7 linked regions of the Xenopus tropicalis genome follow. The protein of the gene in region 2 interacts with the protein of the main gene of each other region in a pairwise test. Links are inferred from orthologs where the notes say so. Each region holds a gene or a part of one and is shown on either strand. Other genes may lie near its edges.

Region 1 (4,273 bases), on a different chromosome or scaffold from region 2:
AAGTCAGTGGGGGTTGTGATAGGAAAAGTCAAGGAACATTCTCAAACTCTAATCTTTCGAGTTTTCAAAGCTTGTTTCATTCGAACGAGTTTTCCTTATTAATAATTAAGCGACCATTGGATATGTGGATATTTGATTTAGAAAACCAAACTCAAATTGACAAAACTGATAAATAAGCCCCCTAGTGTTGGTATATATCAATAATCTTTGGATTCATTTCTCTTTTTTATCTCTTTGTAACAAGGAAAAGTCGATATTACTTGAGAAGAAGCGGCTGCTAGAGAAGGAGATTTCTCAAAGAATGTCAGACCCGTCTTATAAAAATGGGTAAGTCCATTCCTGACATCAAAAAAGGACAAATCTAAGGTTAACATTGACTAATGTAGAGTTCTACCTCCAGATAGGAAGCTCTGCTGCATTTACCCATATGACACCATTAAATTCCATGTGTAGGTTTGAGCCCATCCCCTCTGCATTTTACTGGTGGAAAGCTTCCTCTCCCTGACACGGCCAGTAACATTTAATAGTATTTTTAATTGGCTGAACCCCTACTGACACTGGGAGCCCTCTTCTACATCTATCCACCCCCTCCTACACACCTCCAAAAAGCAGATCTCGATCGGGCAGGTTAGAAAATCTAGTCGGATCGGGGACTGCATCAGGCCTAAATTCCCCCGATATCGCCCACCCGTAGGTGGGGATATCGGGAGAAGATCCGCTCGCTTGGTGTATGGGCACCTTAATTCTACAACAAGAATCAAACTCTCTTATATGAACTATTATCAACATCTATGATTAAACCCCATCTGGAGGGCCACATAGGTGCATCCCCCAATAAATTTAATTTCTAGCACTGTACAGTTTTATAGACAGGGGAATAATCTATTTTCTTCCCGCATACAATGAACCATCAAGCTGTGGAAACACTCGGATAGAGATAGCCACTGTTGAAGAGCAAATCAACCACTTGCAGCAGCTCATGATGTCCCAACACCAGTTCCTTCACGCTTTGATACAGGAGGTGAGATGAAAGTTGGTTTGTAACATATAAAACGTTATTAAATCGAAACAGAGAAACTATCAGAGCTCAAGAAGAATCCATCCACTTTCTAGTGGTATTTTTAGAAGCATAATTATCTATGGGTAAAAGTTCACCCATAAAAGTGAATGATAAGAAAGTGGGTGGATTTTTCTGTAGTGAACTCTGATCTTCCATTTTGAGATATCTGCCCCTAAATGTTACCTTTGTCTTAAAAGAAACTAATAATTGCATCTGTATCAACAGAGCAGGGAAGATCTGGCTTTCCTTGGTTTTATTGCTCATGATTTGTCTAGTTGTGTGATGGTTCTGTATGACTTCCTAAAGCTACTGGGATTCTGCTAATCACATTACAGAGAGTCAGGAAAAATAACCGTCCTGGTTATCTGAAGACCTTACTCCTCTTGAGAAGATCTCAGTAGCTTTATGAGAAGACCTTACTCCACTTGAGAAGATCTCAGTAGCTTTATGAGAAGACCTTACTCCACTTGAGAAGATCTCAGTAGCTTTATGAGAAGACCTTGCTCCACTTGAGAAGATCTCAGTAGCTTTATGAGAAGACCTTACTCTACTTGAGAAGATCTCAGTATCTTACTCCACTATATGAGTACTGTGAGAAAAGAAAGATGGTGGAAGGGAACTGGATCTTAACTTGAAGGCCAGTTAGAGTAAAATTTGGGGAAAATACTCCTGGAAGCTTAGCAAGTCAAATAGAGTGGAATTTGGGGTATATTTTGTAGAAACTATGGGCAATTAGCCACAGTTTTCTACAATCTTCTCCAACTATATAATAGTTGAAATTGACACGGTTCAAACATTGTGTTTTTCACCTTACCAGAATACTTATTCTTAATTGTTATTTTACCAAGGGTAAAGGGTTTTTATGTGTTTCATTTATGGTGAGGAGCCAATAAGGTGGTGATTTATCAACATTTGAATTTTTTTTCCATTAGTCGAAGTTTTTTTTGCTCTAAAACTCCCAATATTTATCTGTACTTGAATTAATATCCAAGTGCAAAAAAAAAAACTTCGGCATCTAAAAGCTTGCGAGTTTCTGTAGAAGTCAATGGGAGTTGTCCTAGGCAAAATCAAACCCTATTTCCAATTCAAGATATAAATAAGCCCATAATAGTAGGCAGACATCAAATTACTACATGCAGCACAATTCAAAAATGTTCTAGAAAGGCCCATGCATGGGCAGTAAATACCCATTGTGATGGCTTTGGGAATTTTTGTGAAGCTGATCCACTGTATCTCATACCTTCTAGAAGTGAAGGAGCCAGCACAGGAGGCTTGGGATGATACTGTAAAATAACAAAAACAATAATTCCAGGAATCTCAAGTTCCTTCATAATTGGCGTTGAGCTAATGGTTTCTTTGTAAACCACAGAGTGAAGACTTAAAAAATCGACTTAAAGAGCAAGACGTAACAATCGGGGATCTAAGGGAGAAGATCAGCTTGCTGGAAAGTCAGGTAATGAACCTTCTTAGTAAAAAATCAACTATTTTATGTGCTGGGTCAGTTAATTGATAGGATAATGACAGCAGGGCATCTACTGCTCTATGACTGGCCTAGAAACTGGCTGTTATGGTTTCACCTGGGCAAGCAGCCAAGGTTAATATGGGCAAGCTCTAAACGACTGTATATCAAACCCTTATCTCAATTGCGCAAGTGATTGGTACATTTGGTGGTTTCCCACCTGGGCTTTTGTACCAATAATCTGAATTTATGCACCTTCTTTCACCTACAGAATAAAGAACTGAAGAACAACGTGGAGCACTGGTCTCATGACAAGACAAAGGTGTCAAAAGGGACATTTGTAAAGTAAGGAACCTGCAGTATGTTGGTTGTTAATCTTGGAAAAGCTTGTGCCCTGATTGGCTGAACGGCTTATATAGGAAGCTAAAATCATTCATCGGCTTGCACACTATTTGTATATGTCCTCGTCTATGCGGCTCCATCTGTCCTCATAGTGCAGGTCAAGTGCAGGTAAGAAGACTGATTGCTTAGACAATCAGTTGCAGGGGCAGTCGGAACATCCTTCCACCAATAAAGCAAGACGTAACAGTTGGACAACTTTCCACCATTGCACTTGAGATTAAAATACCGCAAATTTACAGAGAAGCAGAAATTGTTAGACTTTGCATCAAAGCTTTACTTTTTACCTCCGTTTCCATTTTACTCACCATTTAGGCAACCCTAACGCTAACAGTGATGTGCAGGTCAACAAAAAGTCGACTAGCACCCACCCCTAACCCACCTGCTCCCAACCCAAACTCATTCCGACCCAGCAAGGCCCCTCTATTTATAGACCCGCACTTGACCCATCCATCTCTGATGTTACAAAAGGGGGTGGGGCATGCCTATAAATAGAGGCTGCCAGGGGCAGAAGCCAGTCGCGGGTGTGGTGGGCGGAATTAAGAACTCAACCCGCCTGCAACCTGGAAGTCTTGTGTGGAAGTTGGCCTGAACCTGCCTGACCTGTGGGTTTTGTGTAGGGATGCACCGAACCCAAGCATATGCTGATTAGGATCGGAAGGGGTTAAAAAAAATGTTTCACTGCCCATTTAACCCTTTCAGAATGCTAATTAGCATATACTAATTTGCTGGGACCGCAGATCCGGCCGAAACCAAATCCTTAAAAAAACTCCGGGATTCTCCCGAATGCCGAACCGAATCCGAGATTTGGTGCATTCCTAGTTTTGTGCCAGACTGCACTTCACTACTGTCGGACCCCCCTGGTGCTTACTAACACATGCACAGTAGAGTAATAATGGCAAGCTGGGGAATGTACCCCTGTGTTCTGTTGGTTATTACCCCGAGACCAGCCCAGGGAACAAACTTACCAAGTGGATTCAGTGGGGGTGCCTAACTTACTGGTAGCCCCCCAAATGAATCCTTCTTGTTTAATTATTTACTGTATAGACCATTTATATGGACCTTTGATTTGGAAAGAAGACCATTCCTTTTTCTTATCAACAAATGATCAAGTGCTTTTGACTTGCAGGGAGTCCATGTTCGACGCCAAGTCCCCTTACTCCAGGCTTTTACATTTACGGACCAGATATGTCACCGAGAAGAGCTGATCAACGCTAAGTGGGACCTTCCGTCCATCAAAGGTACATTCTGGACTTATCACAAGAAGAGCGAGAAAGGACGTCACACCTTACCCAACAGTGTTTGGACTCATTACTACCCATTGCTCATTCACTTGCCTGCCCGACTCTGAAACT
Region 2 (4,941 bases):
CTATTAACAAACTACATTAAGTGATTCAGATCCCCACACACTGTGAGCCTGGCACTGCCCTTAGGGGCACAGATTCGCCACTCTGCGTGGGAAAACAATCCCTGCCCATCGCTTCTTTCCACTTGCTTGCATATTAAACTAGCCCCTAGTAACCAAGCCCCTAGTAACCAAGCCCCTAGCATTCCAATCCTGCCCATCTGATTATTACACAACCCCAAGCTTGCAGAACCCCACTTGCTTGCATATTAAACTAGCCCCTAGTAACCAAGCCCCTAGCCCCTAGTAACCAAGCCCCTAGCCCCTAGCATTCCAATCCTGCCCGTCTGATTATTACACAACCCCAAGCTTGCAGAACCCCACTTGCTTGCTTATTAAACTAGCCCCTAGTAACCAAGCCCCTAGCAACCAAGTCCCTAGCCCCTAGTAACCAACCCCCCTAGCCCCTAGTAACCAAACCCCCTAGCCCCTAGTAACCAAGCACCTAGCCCCTAGCATTCCAATCCTGCCCGTCTGATTATTACACAACCCCAAGCTTGCAGAACCCCACTTGCTTGCTTATTAAACTAGCCCCTAGTAACCAAGCCCCCAGTAACCAAGCCCCTAGTAACCAAGCCCCTAGTAACCAAACCCCCTAGCCCCTAGTAACCAAGCACCTAGCCCCTAGCATTCCAATCCTGCCCGTCTGATTATTACACAACCCCAAGCTTGCAGAACCCCACTTGCTTGCTTATTAAATTAGCCCCTAGTAACCAAGCCCCCAGTAACCAAGCCCCTAGTAACCAAACCCCCTAGCCCCTAGTAACCAAGCACCTAGCCCCTAGCATTCCAATCCTGCCCGTCTGATTATTACACAACCCCAAGCTTGCAGAACCCCACTTGCTTGCTTATTAAACTAGCCCCTAGTAACCAAGCCCCTAGTAACCAAGCCCCTAGTAACCAAGCCCCTAGCAACCAAGCCCCTAGTAACCAAGCCCCCTAGCCCCTAGTAACCAAGCCCCTAGCATTCCAATCCTGCCCGTCTGATTATTACACAACCCCAAGCTTGCAGAACCCCACTTGCTTGCTTATTTAACTAGCCCCTAGTAACCAAGCCCCTAGTAACCAAGCCCCTAGCCCCTAGTAACCAAGCACCTAGCCCCTAGCATTCCAATCCTGCCCGTCTGATTATTACACAACCCCAAGCTTACGGAACCCCACTTGCTTGCTTATTAAACTAGCCCCTAGTAACCAAGCCCCTAGCAACCAAGCCCCCAGTAACCAAGCCCCTAGCCCCTAGTAACCAAGCCCCTAGCCCCTAGTAACCAAGCCCCTAGCCCCTAGTAACCAAACCCCCTAGCCCCTAGTAACCAAGCACCTAGCATTCCAATCCTGCCCGTCTGATTATTACACAACCCCAAGCTTGCAGAACCCCACTTGCTTGCATATTAAACTAGCCCCTAGCAACCAAGCCCCTAGCAACCAAGCCCCTAGCAACCAAGCCCCTAGCCCGTAGCCCCTATTCCAATCCTGCCAGTCTGATTCTGACACAACCCCACGCTTGTAGAACCCTACTTCCGGTGTCGCGTCCCGTACGCGTCATTGTGTAGGCGTGACCGGAAGTGTGCCGCGTACATTACTGCAGCCTGTGGAACCCGGGGCTCAGGTACCTGGAACTGGAATATCGGTAACTATGACGCCTCATGGAAGCTTATTTTAGCATTTAGCCCCACTTGTTTGTGTTTGGTATAACTAAGCCGGGGCTGCTCAGTGAATACGGGGTGTCTGGTTCCCGCACAGGAGCGGAATGGCCATGTGTACCTGTCTGGTGTCAATGGCTGCGCTATTAGTTTCTTCCCCATAACTGTTTGAGGGGATTATGGGAGTTGTAGTTTAAATCCTGACCTGTGATTATTGTCCCTTACTAAATGCTGTTACATTGATTGCTGCATTGTATCTGGGTAATGCATCCAGTTCCATAGCATGCCATTTACTCACTCCATGCCCCATTCCTCTCCCATCACTCACTTCAGCATGGCCCTCTTTAACCCCTTATGGGTCACTGTAAGTAGTAGTACTTCTCTGGTTGGCTGTGGCTACTGAGCCATTCTGGCCAATCAGGAGGGGGAACGCAGCCGACTGGACATATACTGTTCAAGGTTATTTCTATCACTTGTCTTTTTTTTTTTTTACCTAAATCCAAGGAAAAGGACATGGAATGTTTTGGGGGGCCCCAAGGCACAACCCTGTATAGCCATAAAGGGGTTGGGCACCTTTGAGTTATCTTTTAGTTTGATGTAGAGAGTGATATTCTGAGACAATTTGCAATTGGTCTTCATTTTTTTATTTGTAGTGTTTTAGTTATTTTATTTTCAGTTCAGAAGTTCTCCAGTTTGGAGTTTCACCAGCTATTTGGTTGCTAGGGCCAAGTTACTTTAGCAGCCAGGGAGTGGTTTGGACAAGAGACTGGTATATGAATAGGAGAAGGCCTTAATAGAAAATTAAAGTTACAAAAAGTAACAATAAAACTGTAGCCTCACAGAGCGATAGATTTCTGGCTGCCAGGGTCACTGACCCCCATTTAAGGGCTCTGGCACACAGGGAGATTAGTCGCCCGCAACAAAACTCCCTGTTCGCGGGCGACTAATCTCCCCGAGTTGCCGCCAGTTGCCATCCCACCGGCGACAATGTAAGTCGCCGGTGGGATGGCACACGCAGCGGCGCGATTTCGGGAAATCACTGAAGTTGCCTCGCAAGGCTTTTTCGTCGATTTCCCGAAATCGTGCTGCCGCGTGTGCCATCCCACCGGTGACTCGGGGAGATTAGTCGCCCGCGAACAGGGAGTTTTGTCGCGGGCGACTAATCTCCCCGTGTGCCAGAGCCCTAAAAAGTTGGAAGGAGAAGGCAAATATTTAATAAACTATAACAAATAAATAATGCAGACCAATTGAAAAGTTGCTTAGAATTGGCCATTCTATAAAACACAACAACTTATATATTGTTAAATATTGTTTCCCTCTCTCAGGCACCATGTCTATGTCGCACCTTTATGGCAAAGATGAGGACAGCGATGGAGTGGAAATGGAGAACTTTGAGATCACGGACTGGGACCTACAGAATGAGTTTAACCCCAACCGCAGAAAGCATTTCCAAACAAAAGAGGAGGCGACCTATGGGATGTGGGCAGAGCGGGACTCTGATGATGAGAGGCCAAGCTTTGGGGGGAAAAGGTTGGTGGGTCTTTAGATTGGTAGGAGGGGTCACTCAATAGTAATAGTCACCTTCTTGCGTGCAGTTAATGATACAGCACCACCCAATACGGACACCTTTCATTTTATTTCTTCATAGGTCTCGAGACTACTCGGCCCCTGTCAATTTTATCAGCGCTGGGATCCGTAAGCCTGCTGCAGAAGAAAAATCTGATAGCGATTCCGACAGTGAAACGCAAGCAAGGAGGGAAACTTTCCCAAAGGATTTTGAGGCAAAGAAGCTAAGGACGGTAGGATGAGTCTAAGGAGTGTTTGTACTTCCCAATAGTAATAGTCTGACAGGGTTAAAAGGGGTGTTCTTCTTTAAACCAACTTTTGGTTGCTATTCTAAAACAATTTGCAGTTGGTCTTCTTTTTTTTTTTATTATTATTTAGCTTTATATTCAGCACTTTTCCAGTTTGGAATTCTAACAGTTATATGGTTGCTATGAACCAACATAACCTAGCAACCAGTCAGTGGTTCAAATGAGAGACTGGAATAATAGCAGGAGTGGGTCTGAATAGAAAGATAAGTTTAAAAAAAAAAAAAAAAAAGTAATAACAGCGTAATTGTAGCCTCACAGAGCAATAGTTTCTTGCTGCCGGGGTCAGTGACCCTCTTTAAAAAAAATGAGGACCAATTGAAAAGTTGCTACGAACTTGCTCTTCTATAACCTACTTAAAATTAACTTAAGGACGAACCATCCATTTATAAGAGAGAGAACTATTATTGTAAGAAAGACACACTATATTCATTGTTTCATTCCAAAGCTTCAGTCAGTTTCAGTTTGTGTATTTTACAGGGTGGTAATTTCAAACCATCACAGAGGACATTTGCTGGAGGAATAAAGTCAAACACAGATTTTGGTTCTTGGGAGCGGCATACCAAGGGAATCGGCCAGAAACTTCTTCAGAAGATGGGTTATGTGCAAGGAAGAGGCCTGGGAAAGAATGCTCAAGGTATAACTGGGTTCTTTGGCCAGTGAGGTTAAATTAGAAGCTCTACTGAGGCAGGGGCTATTCTCAGATGGAAACGTGCAATAGTAGCTTTTATTATAATCTGACTGTAAGTATGTGAGAAAAATGTATTTTATAGCCAGGATATTCTTTAAAGGATAAGAAAACTTCAAAATAAGTTGATGAACATTTGCAATTTACATTCATAATTATTTTTTTAATGCCAAGATATTAAGGGATAAAGTATTGTTAAAGAGTTACTGACACCAGAAATGAAACCTTTTTTACATCAATCATAACATTGTCTTTGCATGAGCTTTATAATTTTGCCATAAAAGTATTTGCTGATGCTTTTACATTCCTTATCTGATCCCCCATGTTCTTCTGTGAGGGGGCTGCCATATTTGTGCAGCAGGAGGCCGTTAGCATTAGAAGCTATAACTGACAGGCTGAGAAGGGACAGTCAGGTTGGCAAAACAGTCAGGTTTAGGAACTTCAAGTAACAATTACATACAAAACCAGCCCTAACAGTGAAAAAAGATCAACATGACCTATAGGTAACTTTTTATGTAGATTCATAATTTGAAAAGTCATTTTTTCATGTCAGTATCACTTTAATAAGAATGCATTTTGTTACCACAGCTCCACCTGCTGGTCACTTTCTGAACATGAAGTAGTTGATAATGTTGTCAGGAGAAAGAAAGAGGGCTGATCTGATGTTGTTCTGGTTAGGGAAACATTAGAAACCCCAGATAACTTT
Region 3 (3,839 bases), on a different chromosome or scaffold from region 2:
GGAACTGATTGAGTTGGCCCCCATAGCATCACAGGCAGGAACAAGGGTGGGAGGTGGAACCTAGGCCCCCCCTTTCATGTTGGGTCAGCTGTATGGTAGTTACACTACTTGTGGCAAGGGCACAAAGGCCCAGATATAAGGTGGCAGGACTTTAGGGGGCAGAACACCACCCAACTGCATCTAAATTGGGGTTGAAGCACTGGGGATGTGCAGGAGACAGAACTAGGGGTAGGCAGGGAAGGCAGGTGCCTAGGGCACAACACTGGGGGGCAGAGATCACATACCTTCTCTGCCTATTTAGTCCTAATTTGGCTCTTCTATTCCTCCGGAGGCTGGCGGCTTAGGGAGCGGGAGAGTTCTCGCGAGAGTTGGGGAAAGCTAACTTGCCCTGTCATTGGGCTTGCCTAGGGCACAACAGTCATTAGGCAGTCATTAGGCCCACCACTGGACTTGATAGTTTTTAACTCCCCTGCTCAACGATGGCCAATGCTCCATACCCAACAAGGAAAATTTACACATACTCATGCAAGAAGGGGAGGGTGGTGGGCACAACGAGTAGTGACGGGGGCCTAGGGGTGCCAACTATATAAATCCGGAACTGTACTTGTAAATATAAAAATATCATCTCTGAATTCAAGCTAAAAGTTAAGATAAAATTTGTGGTACATGTATAGTGGCTCAGTGATCCCAACCAGCATCTCTGTACTATGGATATTGGCTGGTTTGTTGATTGGGCAGGTTTGAAAATGGCCAAGACATGGTGCCTTGGCAGATGAAGTGAAGAGGAACTGTAGATCTTTACTTTCTGCTGTTTCCATCATTTCTTTGGCCCCAGACAACTGAAAGGTGGCTATATTGTTTACAGCCCCTGTTACAGTATTTGTCTCACAGATACCATACAGGATTGGTGTGTGTATGCCCTCTGATTCTAAGAGGAGTGGGAGGCAGTAAGGATAAAAACATAACAATGACCCATTACAGCTTTGTCACATTTTTGGACTTGGAAAACACCACAGATTCACTGCAGCTTCTCATAGCAAAAGTCCAAAGTTTTCACAAAGCAATAAAATGATTGCTATGCATATAGCAACCAAGATAAATGAGCCACAGATCATAGCAACTGATTGCGCCTTTATGGCTTATGTGGTACATGGAATTCATTATCCAACTAAAAGCTGGGGAAAGAAATCATGAACTGATACAATGTCAGCACGCAAAATCTTTCTTTTCTTTTTCAGACATGAACAAAAAATGGAATTTGGCTTTTAATTGTATGACATTTGTAGCTTATGCCAGTGGGTTTGCTTAGTAGGAAGCATTTAAATGTGTGTTGCACTTACCTGAGACAGAGACCTCTCGGCAACGGACAAGGTCGCTTTTATTGCCCACAAGTATAATGGGGATGTCCTCTGTCTGCCGCGCCCGACGGAGTTGTATGCGCAGCTCAGAGGCTTTCTCAAAGCTTGCTCTGTCAGTGATGGAGTAGACAATAAGGTAGGCATCTCCAACCTGCATGCACTGCTCACGGATCCAGTTGTCTTGAGCCTGGCAACAAAACACACAAATTGTAGTTGCAATTTATGGGTGGAACCATAAACCACTAGCAAAATATCTTTAAGGAAGGATATTAGTATGTATAGCTATATCTTTGACTCTAATATACAGAGAACAGTGTGCCCCATATTGTAAAATATAGGTATATTAGAAGTCACCAAGGGATTCCATGACCATATTTTTTTGGTGCATCCCTAGTAGACATCCCTAGTAGACATCCCTAGTAGACATCCCTAGTAGACAGTGCAGGAGAGAAGTAGATATATACCCTAGACAAAAACCCTCTATATACCCTAAACAAAAAGTGCAGGACAGCAGCCCCCATGACAGGGAAGAGAGGCAATACATACAGTGTAACGTACCTTATTTTCCCACATATCGATTAGAATCAGAGTTGCGCTTTCTCCGTCCACCATCAAGTTTCTTTCATAAGTGTTTTCTTAAAGAGAAAAGGAAATTAATTTATATATTTTGATTTACTGTGTAACTAGGGCAAAGTTTGAGATGGACCTGTTATTAAGGCATTGGAAACAAAATAAAGAATCTGCTATTTCTCTGTATTTGTCAGCCCTTCAGATATTGGGCCTCATGTATTTAACTTGCAGTCCACTTTTAGGCCCATTGCTTATGGTCCTGTGTTACTACCACACATCATATATACTGTATATACTCAAGTATAAGCCTAGTTTTTCAGCACCCAAAATGTGCCGAAAAAGTCACCCTCGGCTTATACTCGAGTCGGGTGCCATGGGTCCCTCTAGGCTAGCACTCTCTCTCCTTTGTGTGCAAATTAGGCCTCCCGCAACCAGACCCTCCAGTGCCCTGGCCTAGGCTCCCACTAGCAATACTTATTTCCCCTTACATCTCCTCCGGGACTGGGTCTGCTGCCAGTTTGCCAATGTGCAATGAGCGTGGGGTAGTACTCATATTGTTTTTGTTGACCCTTTTCTCCACTTACAGAGCTAGTTTACTGTTTTTCTTTTAAACAAATATTGAAAAACATATACCCCACTGATGCCTCAATTAATGTCATTTTATTGGTATTTATTTTGATTGTTAAAACTTAGCAGTAGCTGCTGCATTTCCCACCCTAGGCTTATACTCGAGTCAATAAGTTTTTCCAGTTTTCTTAGGTAAAATTAGGTACGTCGGCTTATATTCGGATCGGCTTATACTAGAGTATATACAGTAATTTAATACACAAGAGCAGTGAATATATGTAAATTATATCCTATATAAATGTTGATTTGTGATGTAATTTCTGTCACATGACTCACTGAAACGTGTGTATTATAATAAATAATGTGATCCCTGTTTTAAAATATGGGGACATTAGAAGCCACAATATATGGTCATTGAACTCTTTGGTGACTTATAACATCCTTATATTTTACCATAGAGGGTACTTCATTGACTATATAAAGTCTAATGTCTCTTTAGATACTTGGAACTCCGATCCAACAAACCGTGATTTGCCAGAAGGTAACTCTGCTAAATATTGTTTCCCATATAGTTTCTACTGAACATAATAAAAACACTTTTTTGCACGGCTGCCTTCAGTGGATAAACTCCAGATTGCACGGTAATGGAAAAAGTGACTTCACCTCTGAGAGAAAACACAGTTAATTTCTCTGCTGTCAGAGGAATCTCATGCTCTTGCCCCCAGCTCCACATCGCTGCCTGCCTCAATCTGTCTGCGAACTTTCCCCATGCACAACGACCATACATAGAGCTTTGTATCCCTTAGGTAAATATGACAAATTGACTTGGAAGGATTGCACTTACTTTTGCATACATAGAACGCTACCTACAAAGGACTATACTCAGAGCTATTGTTTAGGTACCCCAATAGGGGTTATTCCCAAGGGGCCTAAAGTAACATGTGTCTTAGTCTTAGTCAGCAGCCCTTCAGTTACTGGATTTCCATAAAAATTCTGGTTGTTTTCAAGCTCTAAATTAACAAAGTCTATAGGATTTGGAAAGACCGAATCCAAACTGGAGTCTAGAGACCAGACTGTTTAGACCATATAACAAAAACTTTCCAAATCCAGTATTCCAGTTCAGCTACCTCATTCAAGCAGGCTATCACTCCTGTGCTCCTGTTGTAGCACTAATTGCATGTAGACATCATATAAGATAATGGAGGACACCTGACACTGCAGGGCTTTGCTGCAATTAGTGTTTATTAGTGTGTTCCACTACATGTTTTGGGCAAAGCCCTTTATCAAGTGAAACAAGACAAGTATAACAAGACAGCATAGGGCAGTTTTAGTGGTGGTTGGTGT
Region 4 (4,902 bases), on a different chromosome or scaffold from region 2:
AAAGGGGGGTATTACAAATTTATCAGCAACTGCATTGCCAGAAATGTGGTAATACTGGCCCCAGCTGTGATAGGGTGTTTGCTGGCTCGCCCAATAAAATTCTGTCCGGGTGGCAAACCTACATCACCCATGTGAAAAAGTAATTACCCCCTTATACATAATAACTGGCCGCTCCACCGTAAGCTGCAATAATTGCAAAATGATTCATTTGATGTCAGTCTGTCACATTGTTGCTGAGTCATTTAGCCCACTCTTCTTTGTAGAACTGCTTTAATTCACACATTGGAGGCCATTTATAATGTTTGTAATTTTTTTCTACAATTCATTTTTTGGAACTAAAATTAAACAAAAGTGATTTTTCACCATGTATTATGCATCAAAACCATGAAAAGCGTGAATGCAAAAATACTCCATCTAAAGGCTGTCGCAGTCATGTAGAAGTCAGTTTGGTGCTGTCCAAGGCAATATTTATGCGGCCCTTTTACTTCGAGGTATTTGAGTTTTACATATTTTTTGGGGGGAGCTACTTGTGCTATTTAAGTTATGTAAAATTCACAATTAGGGGTTTTTGCTTTTATTTTTAAATTCATTTATGCTTTTCTCATTTATGAGTTTAGTGGTGGTAGAAAAAATCTCTAAGGGAGAGGTGTATGAGATATGTGCTTTTCTCAGCCCTGCGGATCCGCTTCATTAAAGACTTCAGTCTTAAAAACTATGGCAACTGCCCAAGTGTGGGCACACAGAGCGGAGTAGATCGAAGGTTGGCCTAAAAAATGCGAAATCGGGCATTTTCCAGGCCAACCTCCACTCCGCTGAGGTCCACAGGGGAGTGTACGGAAGAGGATCCACTTCTCTCAGCCTGGCTGAAAAACATAGGGCTAAAGGTCCCCGATACACAGGCCGATTAGCTGCCGAATCGTTCTAAAGGACATCTGTATGGTGTATTGGGGACCTTAAGAAAAGCGTATATGTTTTATGTGACCTCGCCCTTAAACTACACAAACTCTGATTTTGATAAATCTGCCTCATTAAGTCCATAAAGATGGACTTTTTCTAATAGGTTGGGAATTTTGTCATGGAAAAGGGAGGCCGCTATCAGTGAGAACTGACTAATACAACATACCTAGCCAGGCCAGGAATAGGATCCAAAATAGGTCCTGGCATTTCAAGTACACAGAGGCCCAACATCTCCCCACCAGGCCAATAACTAGTGACTGACTGTGGCATCTTACAGCAGCCCCTCTGGCATTTGCCGCCCAAAACCCACAGAGTGACGGGGGGGGGGCATCACTGGCATGCATAGTACAAATACCCAAATGCTACACAGCTACAAAGGGACTGATAAAGAGCTGAGGGGCCCCCACAAAGCTCCTATGGTGAGTAGATTATAGGCAAGCTGGAATCAGTCAGAGCTCACAGTGTTTATATTAGGAAGGGCGTGTGTACATTACAGCACATCCCCGGGCTCAGTATGGGGATACATGGTTATGGTGCAGGTAATACTGTTTGGCTTATGGCAAGTAGTTGGTAGTGAGTACAGTAAAACAAAGTTGGTAACAGAAGCCATATCACGGCCCAAAGAATGGACGCCAGGTTAACTCTTCCTGGCTTAGTGTGTTGAAGTGATTGTATTCCGAGCAGTGAATTGTATTCCGAGTGTGAATCGACCGAGAAAAGGGCAGCGGGGATACGGGACACAGGGGATGTGAAGCAATCATTGCTCCGCCTGCCAATCACAGCCGGTCCCTCCCCAGCCGCTCTCAAACACACTCACAGAGAGACTTCACGCAATGAGCTTGCCGCTACCCTGCAGGTGAGAGGACACACGGCACCCTGCCTGCCTGCCCGGATCCCCCGCCAAAAGTAAGTGATCAGCGGGGCTGTACACCTGTCTGGGGACTGCAGTGGTCTCTTCCACTGAGGCGTGCAGATGTTATGTATGGGTCTGTAGGAACGCAGCCGGGTCAAACCATTCTGCCAGCCGGGGTGCCCTGTGTGAGCGCTGGGTGCAGTGATGCAGTAAGGGGATGATGCGCTGCTGCTTATAGAGCACTTGGGTGACATTACTTTCCTGCTTACATTTTGGTTTGATTGTTATCTGTAAGGGCAGAAACTTTAGTGTAAAAAAGAATTTGCACTAGTGCTATTGAACAAGTTCATTGCTACGAACGGGCGATATCAGATTGTAGCTTAGTATTTATAGAGTTAAACCCGCCCGTGTTCCTGATGAGCTCAGCTTCCTGGCGTGTGTGAGTTGCAGTTTAACAACTGCAGAAATGGACTTACTATGCAGTTTAAAACTTATCCTAAAGTCACAAGTGACTTTTGATGGTATTTTATGGCTCATAAAGGGAGAGTAGGTACTAGCAGATTGGTGAGCTATCAGTCCTGTGGATGTTGCTGAACTACATCTTACACTTTTTTACCAGCTGGCAAAGGCTACTGCTGGATGCTAAGAGCTGTATCTCAATTAAACATCTGTAGGAGCTTTTCCTGCCTGTTGGAGAGAATACTGTGCAGGGTGTTTAGTATTTATCCTGCTGCCCAGGTTATGACTGCCCCCTGCTTTATAGAGGGGTTCACTTCAGTCCTCAGTCCTCTTCCATACTTGTCTGTTAGAGTGGGAACAAAACATATGAGTAATAAGACAACTGCCTGGAGATCTGAGAGGCTGCTGTTATGTTTGGTGCCAGGAGAGAATGACCCTGTTCCAGAAGGTTGAGTCAGGATAAGCTGGCAGCGGAGGTCAGGCGTTGGGTAGCTGCTGCCAGATGTACACGGCACATCTGTTTTTGTGTGGCGCTGATGGACACTTGAGCTCAGCAGGATCCAGCTGGGATTAAATGACTTGGAGTTTGCAGAGAGAATCCAGAGTGACAATGAAAGGAAAAGCCTTGAGGCTCTTTAGCCATTTTATAGCAGCACCTCTGCAATTAGAGACAACTGCAAGAGCCAAGCAGAGAGAAACAGTCGCACTCATCACTTTGTTTTATATCAGATATGAAAATGCTAAGATCCAGCTGAAAGCCTAGCGGTGTGTTACTTTAATTCCTCTTCCTCCACTTTCACTCCATTTGTTTGCATCCCTGCTTGTGTGCACGTGCTTGTGTATGAGTGTGTGTCGCCATCGGTTCCTTATCTGTTTATTGCAGTGATCCCCAACCAGTGGCTCATGAACAACATGTTGCTCCCCAACCCCTCGGATGTTGCTCTCAGTGCCCCCAAACCAGGTAGTTATTTTTGAATTCCTGACTTGGGGGCAAGTTTTGGTTGAATAAAAACAAGATTTCCTACCAAATAAAGCCCCTGTAAGCTGATAAGGGTGCATAGAGGCTCCCTAATAGCCAATCTTAGCCCTTATTTGGCACCTCCATGAACTTTTATGGTGCTTTTGTTGCTCTCCAAGTCTTTTTACATTTGTCTGTGGCTCACAAGTAAAAAAGGCTGGGGACCCCTGGTTTATAGCATATGAAAAGGCAACCACAATAACCCATTTCTCCTCTACAGCTGATGAAAATTCCCCCCTTTTCCTACTGGGAAGAAAGAGCCTCTTGTATTTATACAGAAACCTATACTTCTAATATCTTTCTTTTTTACCCAAGTCCAATATGTCAAAAATATAGTTATAGTAGATGATAAAAAAAAATCTCAAAAGTACTGGACCTTAATACAAGGTTGAATTTGATTTGTCTTTATTTTAACCTCAGCTACTATGTACTTAAGAACAAGAGGCCCACTAGGTAGAAACTGAATTGCGGGCACGGCCTATAAATCCTATTATCCTAAGTCTGAAACTTTTTATTGCAATAGGAAACAGTAGGCATCATGGAGCCATTCAGCTTCTGTTGCACTACAATTCCCAGAACCTTCCAATCGCCACCCCTAGGGCCACTGCTTGGCCATTGTTTCTTGTAATTGTAGTTCAGCGAAAGTACATGGCTCCTCTTGGCTGAGTGGTGCCCTTTCCGGTTACGCAATCCATTGTGTCTGGGGCTTTCTCGCGTGTGTGCCACAGTGGGATACCTCTGCTGAGACCAATTTGCACTAATGGCGGTGGCACACACATGAACTGCAGGGCTTCTTAGGTCAGATGTGGTGGAAAATATCCAGACGTGCCCAATTGTTTTTTTATTGTGTGCTTGTTCCTGCTTCACTAGGAGCCGCTGTCAGCTGCTTGTAATACCGTCAGCTTCATCGCCTGCACTGCTCTCTTTCCAAACATGACTCAGCGCTCGCACACACTTGGCCTTTGGCAGCCACTGCCTCACGTGTTGCTGTCAGGAACCTTCCCCTCTGATAAACAAACTACCTCTTTTGTGATGTTGTTCCGGGAACAGCACAGTCAAAGTGTAGCCGGGAAATACATTTGTAAAATGTGTCCCCAAACTTCCCCACCCCTTTAAAAAAAGAAAACATTTCTTTATTCCCAATTGTCATGTCCCTGTGTCAGTCTGTGGCCCACCAGGTGTTCAGTAATCTATCCCTGTATTTGTATAGCCCTGACATATTGCGCAGCACTCCACAGAGAACGATAAATTCTTCACGTCAGTCCCTGTGCCATTTAATATTACAGTGTATGATAGGCAGGTCTGGACTGTGATTCAAAATAGGCCCTGGCATTACAAGTACACAGAGGCGCAAACAGACCCCCCACCAGCCCAATATATAGTGACTGTCTATGGCATCTTACAGCAGCCCCTCTGGCATTTCCCAGGACCCACAGATTGCCAGACCTAATGATAGGCATACACAAGGGCCAATTTAATCAGAAGCCAATTAAAGTTCTAGTAAGATATATAATTCACTAAATAGATCTCAAGTTCATGGAGGTGCCAAATAAGGGCTAAGATTGGCTATTAGGGAGCCTCTATGCACCCTATCAGCTTACAGGTGGCTTTATTT
Region 5 (4,273 bases), on a different chromosome or scaffold from region 2:
CATTCAGGAAAACAAGTTTAGCCGAATTTGAAAATAAATAAAAATGAGAAATTATGGAGTTTTAGTAAATCTGCCCCTAAATGTCCATGTTGACTGTATGTACGTAGGAGAGACAATAAAACCAATTACGGACTGTATTTCCAAACACAATCAAGAATGAAGTAGTTAAATTGCCTGTCCCACATCATTTTAAACAAACCGGACATAGCACCTCTCAATTCCGATACGCTGTGATAGAATCGATCCCAGTACTTAGGCGTGGAGGTAATAGAGAATTACATTTGAAAAAATCTGACGTATTTTGGATTCATACATTAGAGCCCGGGGGATGAATCGTGATTATGATTTATATGTCTTTATATAATTATATGTCTTTATATATGTCTTTGTGTAATACTTGTACAATTGTGTTTAGCCATGTGTCTTTAAGATGAAGCAGGTAGCTGGTGCTGCAAACAGGAACAAAGGGACTTATGGGTATAAGAAGAGTCGATTAGGCAGTATATATCATGTTTGAGAAAGGGACGAGAGTCCCAAAAACGTCACATGTATTTTTTGTATAGTATAAGTTCTGCTTCAGTCTAAATTCTCATAGGTCAGTTTTTAAAGGAGACGTCCACCTTTTGGTAGGACTTTACCCAATACAGTAAATTGCTTAAAAAATGTCTCCTTTTACAAAATGTTTTAAAAATATGTTTTAGTCAAAGTATTCATGATAGAACTACTGTAGGTTGAACAAAGTGACAAGTTTTGAATACCCATTGACATGTGATACAGTCCAGTGTACATGTGATACACCCCAGGGGCCCCTGCACCCCCCGCTGCCCACCCAACCCTTTCCCCCGAGCGCATATGCAGTATAGTTACTTTTGTGTGCACTGGGGGGGGAGAGAACAGCAGCTGGATGGAGCTCGGGTCTGGGCCATCAGCACAGTCTAACCCTGAAGCTAGTTATATTATTCATACTGTGACTGACTGAAAATGAGGTGTCAGTTTCCAGACCAAAGACCCAAGCATCATGGCTCCTAGCTACATAAGCTGGAAATATAGCTATATCAGGTAGCCAGGATACAGTGCTTCACTATATGCATACTAAACACATGACCAATATGGCCTTTAACTACAAGCATTTGGAGATGTATTCTTGTAATCCAGCATTCCTACAAAGGAAAACAATAGCATTTTACATTATTCATGAGAATACAGAAATGTAAACTATGTATCTCCTGGGTATTTGACAATAGTGAAAAATATATGTGCGTAACAGATCATGCAACGTTTGAGAAATTGTGACAACCGACAAAGAAGAGTAACCACTTCCACAATATATGTTTCCATTATTGGGAAACAGGCCAAAAACACCCTAACAGCTCTAATTGTTTTAATATGCATGTGCAGCACATTCTCGAGTCATTTCCAGAAATGTGTTGTAATGATTTATGAATAGGCTACGAAACCTACATTCCTTGGAATTTGATATTTTTAGCAATTGCAAAACTTTTTTTACAGACTTAAAACTTATAACACTTTTATTTTTACTACTGTATATATATATGTATATATATGTAGGTATGTATATATATATATATATATATAATACTAACTCTCTGTTAATAGACTTGGCTCTATAGCTTTATAGCCAAAGACAGTCACTATTTAGTGGGCTGCTGGGGGGCTGTTTGACTCCGTGCACTTTAAATGCCAGGGCCTATTTTGAATCTAGTCCAGGCCTGCTGTTTAGGGACTCTGCATGTTTCATATGGCAGTTCTTATTTTTCCCCTTGTTGGCTTTGCTCAGATTGCCATTTATTTCAATAAAATAACATTTACTGTCAAAAACAAGTAAATCATTTTGCCACTTATTTAAAGGGGTAATTAACATGTTGTATGCTATAGAATGTCCTGTTCCTAGCAACTTTGATGCTGCATCAAATGAGGGTCACTGAATCAGCAGCCAAAACAGCATTGCTTTGTGAGACTACAGCTGTATTTTTATTGTTACTTTTTATTATTTATTCCTCCTGTTCAGATGCCAGTCTTTCATTCCAACTACTGCCTAGCAACCATATAGCCGCTGAAATACCAAACTGGAAAACAAAAAGCGAAATAACTGAAAAATCACTAAAAATAAAAATGAAGACCAATAGGAAGTTGTCCAAGAATATCAATGCTCTACATATTACTAAAAGTTATTTTAAGGGTAAACTACCCCTTTAATCTCTTTAGATTGATTTGTGAAGTAAAAGCTATATTTAGGCTAAACAAGTTATTCTGCATATAAATAATTTGGAATAGTAGTCACCTTTGCTTTGATCAAATCCCGTGATTTCTGCTCTCTCTCCTCAGCTTTAATTTGAACTAAACGCGTTAGATTGACCAGATCTTCCCTGCGTTCACTTTGCTCCTTCACAAGCTGCTCTTCTTCTGCAATGCACTGCTCAAGTGTATGGGCTTCTGCCTCAGTCAGAGTTTGCTGAGTTGTAAAATAAATAAGAATGATTAGCGACAGCAAACATCTTGTTCATGTAGCTATATGTGTTTTATTCTATAACTTCTTGTTATGGCTTCTCATGGAAGAGCTCCCAGTATAACTAGATGGCAGAGATATTATTTTACTTATGCTTCAAATGAGGTGTTCCATGTCTGTTGTGAATGCAAGCTATGCCCACTGAGGTTTATTGTGTGGTCATCAAGACTGAAACATCAGAATTAAACCTTTAAGTGAGTATGCAAGCAAATCATTTTTGTAATAATCCATTTATTAATTTATTAGCAAGGCTCTTTCATTTCAAATATTAGAGGTCAGATAATGCACTTCAAACATTAAAATATTCTGCATAACATGTTCTGGTGTATCAGTGTGCATCAGTGTATCCATTTGCAAACACTTTTTCATATAAATACTGTAAACCTTTTTAAAAAGTTTATACATTTTTAATAAAAAATGATTGGGTTATAGTTCAGCACAAATAATCAGAAGTATACGGCTGCTGATTCCAGGTGTCTGTGAGCCACCCCAACAGTATATCATAAGATCGAAAGCCAAAAAGGAATCAAACAGCTCCAAGCAGCATTTGAAAAATGCAGTGAATTTAATGGCAGTGTCAGCACACTACATGTTTCGGGCAGAGCCCTTTCTCAAGTCAAAGTCCAGTTAAGTCCAGGGCCAGAACTAGGAGTAGGCAGAAGAGGCATTTGCCTAGGGCACAACAGTAATGGGGTGCAGAGCACATGCCTTTTCTGCCTATTTACCCCTAGTTTTAGCCCTTCTGTACCTCTGGAGGCTGTCAGCTTAGGGAAGGTGAGAGTTCAGAGAACTATCAAGCCCTGCCTCTGCCTGTGACCTGGGGGCAGAGTCAATAAATGGACCTGCCTGAGCCAATACCGTCATTAGGCCCACCATGGTAAAGTCTGCTCCATCTTTTCATTAAAATATAGTAACTTTAGTAGAGTGGAGTAGGGCTAGATAGTTATTGAGAATTACCTGATAACTTCAAGAATGAGCCATGAAAAGTTGGCTAAGTATAGTAAGTGTAGTTACAATGCAGTAACGTTTTCTGACTCTGTTGGTGGAAATTAAAAAAAAACAAAAACATTTAAGCACTTAAAGAGTGCTTTTATTTTCCTTTGGACACATTGTGCTGTGCATTTTCCATTGAACACTAACCCTGCAACTCCAACTGGGTATTAAAAGGGCAGTATAGTATAGTTAACCTGAGATTAATGAATAGGACTTGAGAAAATGCCCCTGCATAATGAATTCCTGCAAACAAAGCAGGCACAGCAGAAGGTAAAGCAAAGGGTTGTATTCTGGTAATCTAACAGAATGTTCATAGGGGACAGCTACTGAGGATGTCAACAGAACAGTGAATTTGAAAGAAGGAAGGAAACCGACCTGTTGTGCAAACTGTCTTCTTATTACTTCTACTTCCTTTCGTAGCTCTTTTCTCTTCTCAAGCAGTGCATCAGCTTTAGGAAAACAGTCAACCTAAAGTGCAAATAAGAAAATGTGGGGCGATTTATCTAAAATCAGCTTGTTTGCCACTTCACTATGCATATTAGGTTATAAAGGCTGTCACAGTGGATACTGCTGTAGTAATCTAAAATACCTTGTACATTTATCAGAGTGCTTAAATAGACCTCCCACTAGCAACCACAGGAACACAATAAGGGCTATTTTGGCCCCCTTTCATTTAGCTTCGAGATTTTCATGTGTATTTGTATCCATATCTGAAACGTACTTATTCAGCTAATGAGCAGACCTTTTTAATTT
Region 6 (4,273 bases), on a different chromosome or scaffold from region 2:
TTTTTATGTTTTATTTGGTTATTTAAGTAAACGTTTACTTAACAGCTCTCCATGTTGAAATTTCAGCAGCTATTTGGTTGCTAGGGTTTATCTTTCCTAGCAACCAGGCACTGTTTTAAATAAAAGACTAGAATATTATTAGGACAGGGCCTGACTAGGAAGATAAGTAAGAAACAGTAACACTAAAACTGTAGCCTCACAGAGGAATAGTTTTTAAGCTGATGGGGTCAGTGACTGCCATTTGAAAGCTGAAAAGAGGCAGAAGAGAAAAGCAAATAATTAAAACCATGTGAAAAAAAAAATAATTGACGCTCAATTGCAAAGTTACTAGGAGATACCTTAAAGATGAACCACCCCTGTAAAGAGCCAGCAATCCATATAGGTGCCCACATGCATTTCTATGGCAGGGGTGAATACACTTTGAATAATGTTAGCTTTAACAATAAAACTTCCCCTTTGTACTTCTATCTACATTCATTTTGGGTGACCAATAGGCAAGATAAATGTCCATCCTGCTCTGCCTTGAAACCTGCCCTGAGTGAAAGTACTCATTTAAAAGGGAAGTTTGTCTTATTATGTATTGAAGTATATTTAAAGGGGACATATACCATCATTTTTCAGAGTGCTTTAATGGATGTTTTTTAATGTAAAATAGAAGGAATTGGCTTTTTTTGGGTACATTTCAAGTGAAATTTCATGAAATTGGCCAAAAACTGCTCTTGTTATGCTCCTATCCTGGACTTCCGGTTTAAGACTCTGTATAGTTTGCTAAAGAGCCGCCGGCTCTCACAGCTTCATTACTGAGGGCTTTGACTGTGAAGGGAGGGAGGTGCTTCTAGTGACGTCAGTTTGGCCGTTTGCAATCACCACGTACTTGCACATAGATCTGCACCGTTAATCAGCCACCTGCCAGCTACCTGCCCACCGCTGTGCCGTACCCTGCTCCCCCCTGAGAGACATTCCATCCTTCCCCCCCCTCCACCCTGCGAGCCGTTCCACCCTTCTCCCCCGTGAGAGCCACCCTGTCTGCTTCCCCTGAGAGCCGTTCGTAACTTTTGACAGCTGCCCCTGCGCTTCTTATAAGGAACGTTCGGCTCTGTGCTCCTTTCAGATAAAGAAGCACAGAGCCGAACGTCCCTTATAAGAAGCGCAGGGGCAGCTGTCAAAAGTTACGAACGGCTCTCAGGGGAAGCAGACAGGGTGGCTCTCGGGGGGGGGGGGGGGGAGGAGAAGGAGGCTCTCGGGGGGAAGCAAAACAGAAAGACTCTGGGGGGGGGGAGAAGGACAAAACGGCTGTCAGGGAAAGGAGGACACAATCAGCTGAGGGGGATGCAGGCAGGAGGACAAACTTCCTTTATTTATGTAAAAAAAAAAGGTTAATAGTTTGCAGGGAGTTTTATGCACAATTTATTGCCATCAGCTGTGATATAAAGGGCCCTCCAGCAGGCCCCCATGAATAAACCTCTTTCCTATAAAGAAAGTTATTATTTACCAGCTGGAGTGCCATCCAACTTTCATGCTTTCGTGTTATTCTCATTGAAAAAAAGGCCCGTCCTAACGGTCAGTGAAGCAAAACTAATACAGGGGCAGGACTTTCTGACTGTCACTCAGAAGTATGATCACTTCCTGAGGCAGCATGAGAGGACACGCCCAGTCCTCATTTCAGCTTAGACAGCAGAGGAGAAAGGATCTCTCTGCAGCTTTAGTATAATTACATTTTTAACAGGTAAAATGTTTTTAAAACCTTCTTTTATAGAAGCACTATACATTTTAGAGAAAGGGGAATATATTACCAAAAAATGAGTATGATGCAATATGTCTCCTTTAAAAATTAGAAAAGTCCAACATGAAAATAGTTGAAAATGCAATCTTCATTTTACATAGAGCACTGGGTGTGTAAAGAGCACCCATTTTTGTTGCCTGCAGAATACTGTAAGAGGATTAGGCCAGCAGCACAAGGGCTTCTTTACTCTCAGTGTCACTGATTGCATCTGCGCTCTGATGCTTCTAATTAAGACCTGCTTCTGGAATTCCAGGCTAAAGAGTCATACCTCTTCCCGAAGCTCTTTCATTCGCTCTTCAAAGTCGTAGTCCTTTTGCTTTTCTTCCATTTTCTTCTTATTAACTTCAAATCTCTTCTTGACTTGATCGAGTGTTGACCGCTCTACTCTCATTGACATTCCCAAGTTCCTTTGATCTGATATAAAGATCATTTTCAAATTAAAGTAAGAACTGCCATTTACAAGTTTTTTTATTGGTATTATTTAATATAGACTAGAAACATATCTCTATGTGAAGAACAGCACTGCGGGTTTGCACTGGCCTGTACAGTTTCCAGTGCTGCAGGCCAGTAGGATACATTGCACTATACACGGTTCTATAAGCAGCCATCGTTATGCCCTGTTCTCTCCTACCACAAAAGGCACAGCATTACACCAAGAACCAGAACGAAACAAACCAACCAGTCCTTTTCCACACATTCTATATTATCTATTCATTTTCTGTGCACGATCCTGGATTACACTCCCCTTCCATATGCAACATATCACAGAACCTACAGTGGCAGCAAAAAAGGGCCATCATAACAGTAACATAGAATCTATTGTTCTGGGTTCATGCTTACTGGCATCACACTGAATGGCAAGATTAAATGGGACAGAAACGGTTAAGCTGGCGATTTTCGATCTTTCGTGCAACCATTGGTCATTCAGGGCTGAATCGTCAGATTTGGAGGTAGAAACAATAGGATTTCTACCTCCTTCTGTCGATTCAGCCTAAAAAGGCAGATTTTGCTCAGGCGCCTTCAATGGCCCCCGATCAAAATCTTTTAACCCACCCGATCGACAAGTCGACCGATATCAGTAGCCTTCTGCAATATCTGTCGCCTCCCAAACTTGCCATACACGCACCGAATACCGTACAAAACGAGGTTTTGTACAAAATTATCAGTGCGTGTATGGCCAGCTTTAGATGACTGCAGTCTGCTTTATTCCCGCAAGCATCTCCAAAGAAGTTACTGTTCTAGCTTGTATCGTTAGCTATGCAGCAACTGGCCACAAGCTCACAGGGCTCCTATTGTGTTTAGATTCCCATTATGGGAAATGAGATGGGGACATTGCCCAACTGCAGAGTAGGTGCAATGACTTAATAGGGGATGTGGCCAGTTAAATTGTGCCAGAAATGGGTAGCAGACACAACAGAACCTTAACACTTCATATCAGCAACAATCGGCATTAGCCAAAACAGGCCCTGAATGTTGGAAACCTATTTGATATAAAGACTAGGTTTAAGGACTCCTGCTACCTGCTACTTCTATTGTGTCTGGTGCAGAAGTGTAGAATAATTCATCATAGCACGTTCCCTTTATTACACAGTAAAGCCTTTACTGTCAGTTATTCAATGCAGCTAAAACTTTACAACTAACTAAAGAGAATGCACTCAAATGAAAGCTAATTGATTAGCGAGGAGTCACCAGCGCCTGTTCTCACTGATAAAGAGCATCACATTTGTTTAAATATATAGCCTTCAAAGCAAAATGTCAAAATGTCTCTTTTCCTTGTACGTACGTCACCGCTTAACAATCAGCAGTTAATTACATGCGTAACACTAACACATGCCGGGGATTCAGCAGTTTTCAAAATTGTGATTTACTGAGCAATTACCTTCCTCAACAAAATTTTTTTATATATAGATCCACCTCTACACCCACGCTTAATAACGGGCTCTAAAGAAGACTGCGGCTATATTTTATGGAGGTATAGAGTACAACCTAACCTGAAATAATGGCTAAACTTTTAGTTTATGGAGGTATTATGAATTCCTGCAAAATAAATGTAAGATCTATTGATATGTAAAAACCATGTCATATATTAGGATATACATTATTTGCGGATTCATTTTTGTTCAAAACACACTGATACCCTTTACTAAGAATGTTTCAAATAAATCTACCAACAATTACTTCCATTAGAAGCTGCATACAGCTTAAATGGCTTTACTGAACCCTAATTCAGTGCCATTGTAGGAAAGTTAGATTTAAATCTATGTTTAAGTCCTAATTAATAATTCATTCAGATGTGCACTGCATGACTGCAAAGAAATAAGTGAAGCCAGCAACACACATCAAAGTTGCTTACTGATGCAGCATGGGCTTGTATACTGTAGGTCTGTTACTATCGTTATACAGGTATGGGACCTGTTATCCAGAATGCTTGGGACCTGAGGATTTTCAAATAAGGGATCCTTCTGTAATTTGGATCATCATACTTTAAGT
Region 7 (4,273 bases), on a different chromosome or scaffold from region 2:
AGACAGCTGGCAAAGAAGAGGGAAAATCTGTGGTATTGGACACGGGAGACCCGCAGGGAAGAAAGACAGACATTACTAAGAACTGTGAAATGCTAAGGAAAAGACAAAGAGAAATAGAAAAAGAGAAGAAAGCACACATATTTAAAGGCAAAAGAAAAAGATCAGAGGTGGAGGAAGGGTAATGGCTGGAGAAAGGGTTGAGATTTAAATAGAAAATGAGATAATGAACTTTGATTAACCACTGAGCAGGGCCAAAAGATACAGTAATGAGATTATGAGCAGTTAAGGAGGGGCTTTGTGACTGGGCACACGTCTCTGTCCCTCTTCCTACTGCTTTATTCCCCCCCCCCTTCCCCTCCGCCGCAAGTTCCCCACATAGCAACACCTCCCCTCCATGTTTCCTTCTTCCCCTCCCTTCTTACTCTTAACCCCCCTTCATTACTGAGATGGCTCAGCTGGCCATCCTGCGCCCAGTCTTTTCAGTGACCCATAATGCCAAAATCTTGTTAAGTGGCAATCCAATTAAGATTAGTAGGTCTTTGGGAATTAACCCATCACTGGTTTCCAAATAATTTCTTTACTATTAAAAGGACTGTAATACAAAATACAGCTTGTTCTTACATAGCTTAACATGTTGCAACAGCCTCTAGCACTAAAACAGATTTTGGCTAGGAATTCCCTGAGTTACAAAAAGTGCCTTGCCTATAAAAGAGATCAAAGACTGCAATAGGTAACTGTTTGGTAATTTCATTAGCACACCTCTTTAAATAAAGATAATGGTTGTTCTGAAGTCCAGATTGGCAACAACAAAGTAAAATAGTGCCTGCCAACCTTGTTTTTAAAGCAGGTACACAGATAGGAACACTTGTGAGAGTAAAGCTGGCCATACACGTGGCGATCTGACGATGTTTCGTACGACCATCGGTCGCACGAAACATCGTCGGATCCGCCACACACCATTCAGGGCTGAATCGGCAGGTAAGGAGGTAGAAACAATAGGATTTCTACCTCCTTCTGCCGATTCAGCTCTGAAGGGAGAATTTTGGTCAGGCGCCTTCTATGGCGCCCGATCAAAATTTTCTAACCTGGCCGATCGGCGAGCCGACCGATTTCAGCAGCTTCCTGCGATATCGGTCGGCTCGCTGACATGCCATACACGCACCGATTATCGTACGAAACGAGGTTTCGTACGATAATATCGGTGCGTGTATGGCCACCTTAACAGCAGAATTTTTAAAGTAGTTCACACTTGTGAGAGTAACAGGTGGTGCAGGAGAATGTGAAGGAAGCCTGGGGTAGGGGGGAGTTGTTCATTTTCCTTTTTAAGACAATTTTCATTAAAAAAAAAAAAAAGTAAAACTATGTATCAGTTAGTGTCCCTCTAGGCCCACCTTACCCCCTGGGCCCTCTAGCAACTGCAGGGTTTGCTTCCTCTATGTACATTCCTAATACATAAAATATAAAACACAACAGGTATGTCAGAGTATGTGGAACCATGCTCCTTCGGGGACTTCAATGGCAAAAAATGTTTTTTGTTGAAACTTTTTTACCTACATTCTATTTTTTTTTTTTTTTTTTTTTTTTACAGTTAAATATCTCTTTCCCTGACTCTGAACTGGAGAGCACATTTGAGTATCCCTCAGAGAGCTCCCTCTTAGCTGAATTTGGACCCCCAGATGAACCAGAGGCCATTGCAACACCAGTTCCTCAAACTGAAGATGATGAAGAAGAGGACAGTGTCTTATTAGGGGGTATCTTGAGAAGAAAAGCCCTTATAGTCGGTAAGCTGGAAAAAAATAAATCACTTTTTCCTTTCTTATATGCTCCCCTCTCTAAACTGACATTGTTACTTGCCCTTCCCAGACATCCTTCTAGAGATGCTATTATACAGTAGAACCTCCATTTTACTTTTTTCAAAGAACAAGGGAAAATGTAAACTAGGGAAATGCTTTATGCATTATATACTGGTGTAAAATAGGGAAAACTTAAAATTGGGGTATGTAAAATTGAGGTTTCACTGTATTTCTTTCTAATTATCCCTTTTATGTTTTAAGCAAGTTCATAGTTTCATAGGGTTGAAAAAACAGTCCATCAAGTTCAACCCTTCCAAGTAAACCTAGCACACATAAACTTTTACTGACCTATATATACACTCACATACATAAACCATATATACCAACATCAATACTAAGGGGTATATTTATCATGCTGTGTAAAAAGTGGAGTAAAACATCACCGGTGATGTTGCTTAGAGCAGCCAATCAGATGCTTTGATTTGATTTTCTAACTGTTGAAATCTAATTGTGGATTGGTTGCCCTGGGCAACATCACCGGTAACACTTCACTCCACTTTTTACACAGCATGATAAATATACCCGTTACTGTAGATTTTAGTATCACAATAGCCTTGTATACTATGCTTGTTGAAGAACTCATCCAGGCCCCTCTTAAAGGCATTAACAGAATATGCCATTACAACATCACTAAGAAGGGCATTCCCCAACCTCACTGCCCTCATTGTAAAAAAAAACACACTGCTTCAAATGAAAGTCTGCCTCTGGTGCATTGATCGTTTTTAAAAAAAGAGCATCCCCTATCTGCCTATAATCCCCTCTAATGTACTTGTACAGAGTAATCATGTCCCCTCGCAAGCACCTTTTGTCCCAAGAAAACAACCCCAACCTTGACAGTCATGTATTTGTAATTCCTCATCTATTGCTAAAATACAGCACCCAGAAACTCTGTATTGTAGTTTCAAATGGGCTTGAGAGCTACATATAAGTTGTTGTTTTACAAGCCATGCACATATATGTTGCTTAATTTTTTTCCTGCTTTATTTTTGCATTTCAGACGAGTCCTGCAAACGTTGAGGGAATTTCAAGAATAATTTTGGGAAAAGAGCACAAGAAACCTGTGGAATTTCCATTTCTACAAAGAGGGCATTGTAAAACAAGAGAACCTGCCCCCCATGGCTTAGTTTACCAGTGGTTCTACAAAGGTTTACTGAATACAAAGGACTGTACAGCCAAACAACCAAAAGCACCTGGAAGAATTGTTATGTTAAACATCTGACCAGAAAAACAAACTTTTGAAATTGAATTATGGTGACTAGCAATGACCTACTGGAAATTACAATAAGACAAATATTGTTCACCACTGCAGTATTAAAGATTACCAAATGAACTAGTACTGCTCACTAAAGCAATCTTTATAAATGACCCTCATTAGAGCAATAAGGCCACACAAATGAGGAAAGTACATTAATCCCCTCATTTTTATGTTAAACATAAGTGAGCTGCTCAGTCATATCTTTGCCAATACATTTCTGCGCTAATACATATTCCTCATATTGTCACTGATGCGTTTGTTTTCCATCGGTTAGATTACACCAGAAGATGGTTAGTAACAGTAATTTTAAAAGACCACACACATACAGTTGAGTCAGAAATTGTATGTAATGTACAGTGTACAGTACTGTGTTGCCAGTAGTAACTTGGTTGTAATTTTTTTTAAAGGAGATCTAAACCAAAAAATTAAACACTTTGTTAAAACTTATCCAGAGTGAGCATTTTAGCAATTTAAATACATTCTGTATTTTTATTGGTTCCTGTGAAATTAGCAGTTTTATACTCTTTATACTATACTAGCAGCTCTCTCAAGACCATAATTATTAAAGTGTGTAAGCCAACATTACAACTGCCAGTAGCAACCAATCAGTTACTAGATTTGAACGGTCACCTACAAGTTAGAAAACAAAAGCAAAGATCTGATTGGTTGCTATGGGCAACATCACTGGTGATGTTTACACACTATAATAAATATGCCCTTTGAGTGTCAGCAACCTTAATTGTATTCAGTTATACAGCTCAGTCCCTCAGTTGAGCCAAAAGCCAGGTATTAGTAGTCTAAAAATGCAAATATCTCAGAAATCACTAAAAATAGAAAATAAACAAAAGCTCTCAGAGAAGCACCCTGAGTAAGTTTCCATCAGTTATTTTTATGGGGTTTTGTTCCCCTTTTTACACCCAAAACTAGCATTCCTTCTTTTTACACACCAGAACTAGTAATATACACAATACAATGCGATCAATAGTTTTTAAAAGTTTTTTATTTTTGATTGCCCAACACTGAACAAGTTTCTAACAAGCTGTTTTGGCACTGTTAAAAATGGTACCAGTTAGATTTATAAATGTATTCTTGCTTTGTGGATTGTAGAATAATTCAGTAAAAAGGGATACCCACTAATTTAAAGGGGTAGTTTGCCATCCAAACA

What was found.
Region 1: the proteins of tfip11 (region 2) and ccdc68 interact in binary tests that used the Homo sapiens proteins (3 or more experiments, as listed by UniProt). The two-hybrid records come from large-scale screens. The link is inferred for Xenopus tropicalis from reciprocal best matches to the Homo sapiens genes TFIP11 and CCDC68.
Region 3: the proteins of tfip11 (region 2) and gem interact in binary tests that used the Homo sapiens proteins (3 or more experiments, as listed by UniProt). The two-hybrid records come from large-scale screens. The link is inferred for Xenopus tropicalis from reciprocal best matches to the Homo sapiens genes TFIP11 and GEM.
Region 4: the proteins of tfip11 (region 2) and bmf interact in binary tests that used the Homo sapiens proteins (3 or more experiments, as listed by UniProt). The two-hybrid records come from large-scale screens. The link is inferred for Xenopus tropicalis from reciprocal best matches to the Homo sapiens genes TFIP11 and BMF.
Region 5: the proteins of tfip11 (region 2) and ccdc146 interact in binary tests that used the Homo sapiens proteins (3 or more experiments, as listed by UniProt). The two-hybrid records come from large-scale screens. The link is inferred for Xenopus tropicalis from reciprocal best matches to the Homo sapiens genes TFIP11 and CCDC146.
Region 6: the proteins of tfip11 (region 2) and zmat2 interact in binary tests that used the Homo sapiens proteins (3 or more experiments, as listed by UniProt). The two-hybrid records come from large-scale screens. The link is inferred for Xenopus tropicalis from reciprocal best matches to the Homo sapiens genes TFIP11 and ZMAT2.
Region 7: the proteins of tfip11 (region 2) and ppp1r18 interact in binary tests that used the Homo sapiens proteins (3 or more experiments, as listed by UniProt). The link is inferred for Xenopus tropicalis from reciprocal best matches to the Homo sapiens genes TFIP11 and PPP1R18.

What each region holds. Positions count from the first base shown.
Region 1 is NC_030677.2:203,243,264-203,247,536, forward strand, and holds part of ccdc68 (coiled-coil domain-containing protein 68), read left to right. Parts: intron 1-244; coding exon 245-327; intron 328-915; coding exon 916-1,021; intron 1,022-2,429; coding exon 2,430-2,513; intron 2,514-2,790; coding exon 2,791-2,864; intron 2,865-4,047; coding exon 4,048-4,126; 3' UTR 4,127-4,273. UniProt on the Homo sapiens protein: Centriolar protein required for centriole subdistal appendage assembly and microtubule anchoring in interphase cells. Together with CCDC120, cooperate with subdistal appendage components ODF2, NIN and CEP170 for hierarchical subdistal appendage assembly.
Region 2 is NC_030680.2:15,107,654-15,112,594, forward strand, and holds the start of tfip11 (tuftelin-interacting protein 11), read left to right. Parts: upstream 1-1,551; 5' UTR 1,552-1,663; intron 1,664-1,837; exon of another isoform or gene 1,838-2,135; intron 2,136-3,001; 5' UTR 3,002-3,006; coding exon 3,007-3,206; intron 3,207-3,324; coding exon 3,325-3,475; intron 3,476-4,027; coding exon 4,028-4,184; intron 4,185-4,941. UniProt on the Homo sapiens protein: Involved in pre-mRNA splicing, specifically in spliceosome disassembly during late-stage splicing events. Intron turnover seems to proceed through reactions in two lariat-intron associated complexes termed Intron Large (IL) and Intron Small (IS).
Region 3 is NC_030682.2:127,873,991-127,877,829, forward strand, and holds part of gem (GTP-binding protein GEM), read right to left. Parts: intron 1,994-3,839; coding exon 1,917-1,993; intron 1,546-1,916; coding exon 1,341-1,545; intron 1-1,340. UniProt on the Homo sapiens protein: Could be a regulatory protein, possibly participating in receptor-mediated signal transduction at the plasma membrane. Has guanine nucleotide-binding activity but undetectable intrinsic GTPase activity.
Region 4 is NC_030684.2:114,268,587-114,273,488, reverse strand, and holds the start of bmf (bcl-2-modifying factor), read left to right. Parts: upstream 1-1,510; 5' UTR 1,511-1,863; intron 1,864-1,957; exon of another isoform or gene 1,958-2,057; intron 2,058-4,902. UniProt on the Homo sapiens protein: May play a role in apoptosis. Isoform 1 seems to be the main initiator.
Region 5 is NC_030679.2:78,127,194-78,131,466, reverse strand, and holds part of ccdc146 (coiled-coil domain-containing protein 146), read right to left. Parts: intron 3,989-4,273; coding exon 3,896-3,988; intron 2,474-3,895; coding exon 2,303-2,473; intron 1-2,302. UniProt on the Homo sapiens protein: Essential for sperm flagellum biogenesis and male fertility.
Region 6 is NC_030679.2:26,879,642-26,883,914, reverse strand, and holds part of zmat2 (zinc finger matrin-type protein 2), read right to left. Parts: intron 2,198-4,273; coding exon 2,052-2,197; intron 1-2,051. UniProt on the Homo sapiens protein: Involved in pre-mRNA splicing as a component of the spliceosome.
Region 7 is NC_030684.2:75,504,275-75,508,547, reverse strand, and holds part of ppp1r18 (phostensin), read left to right. Parts: intron 1-1,588; coding exon 1,589-1,781; intron 1,782-2,850; coding exon 2,851-2,870; 3' UTR 2,871-4,273.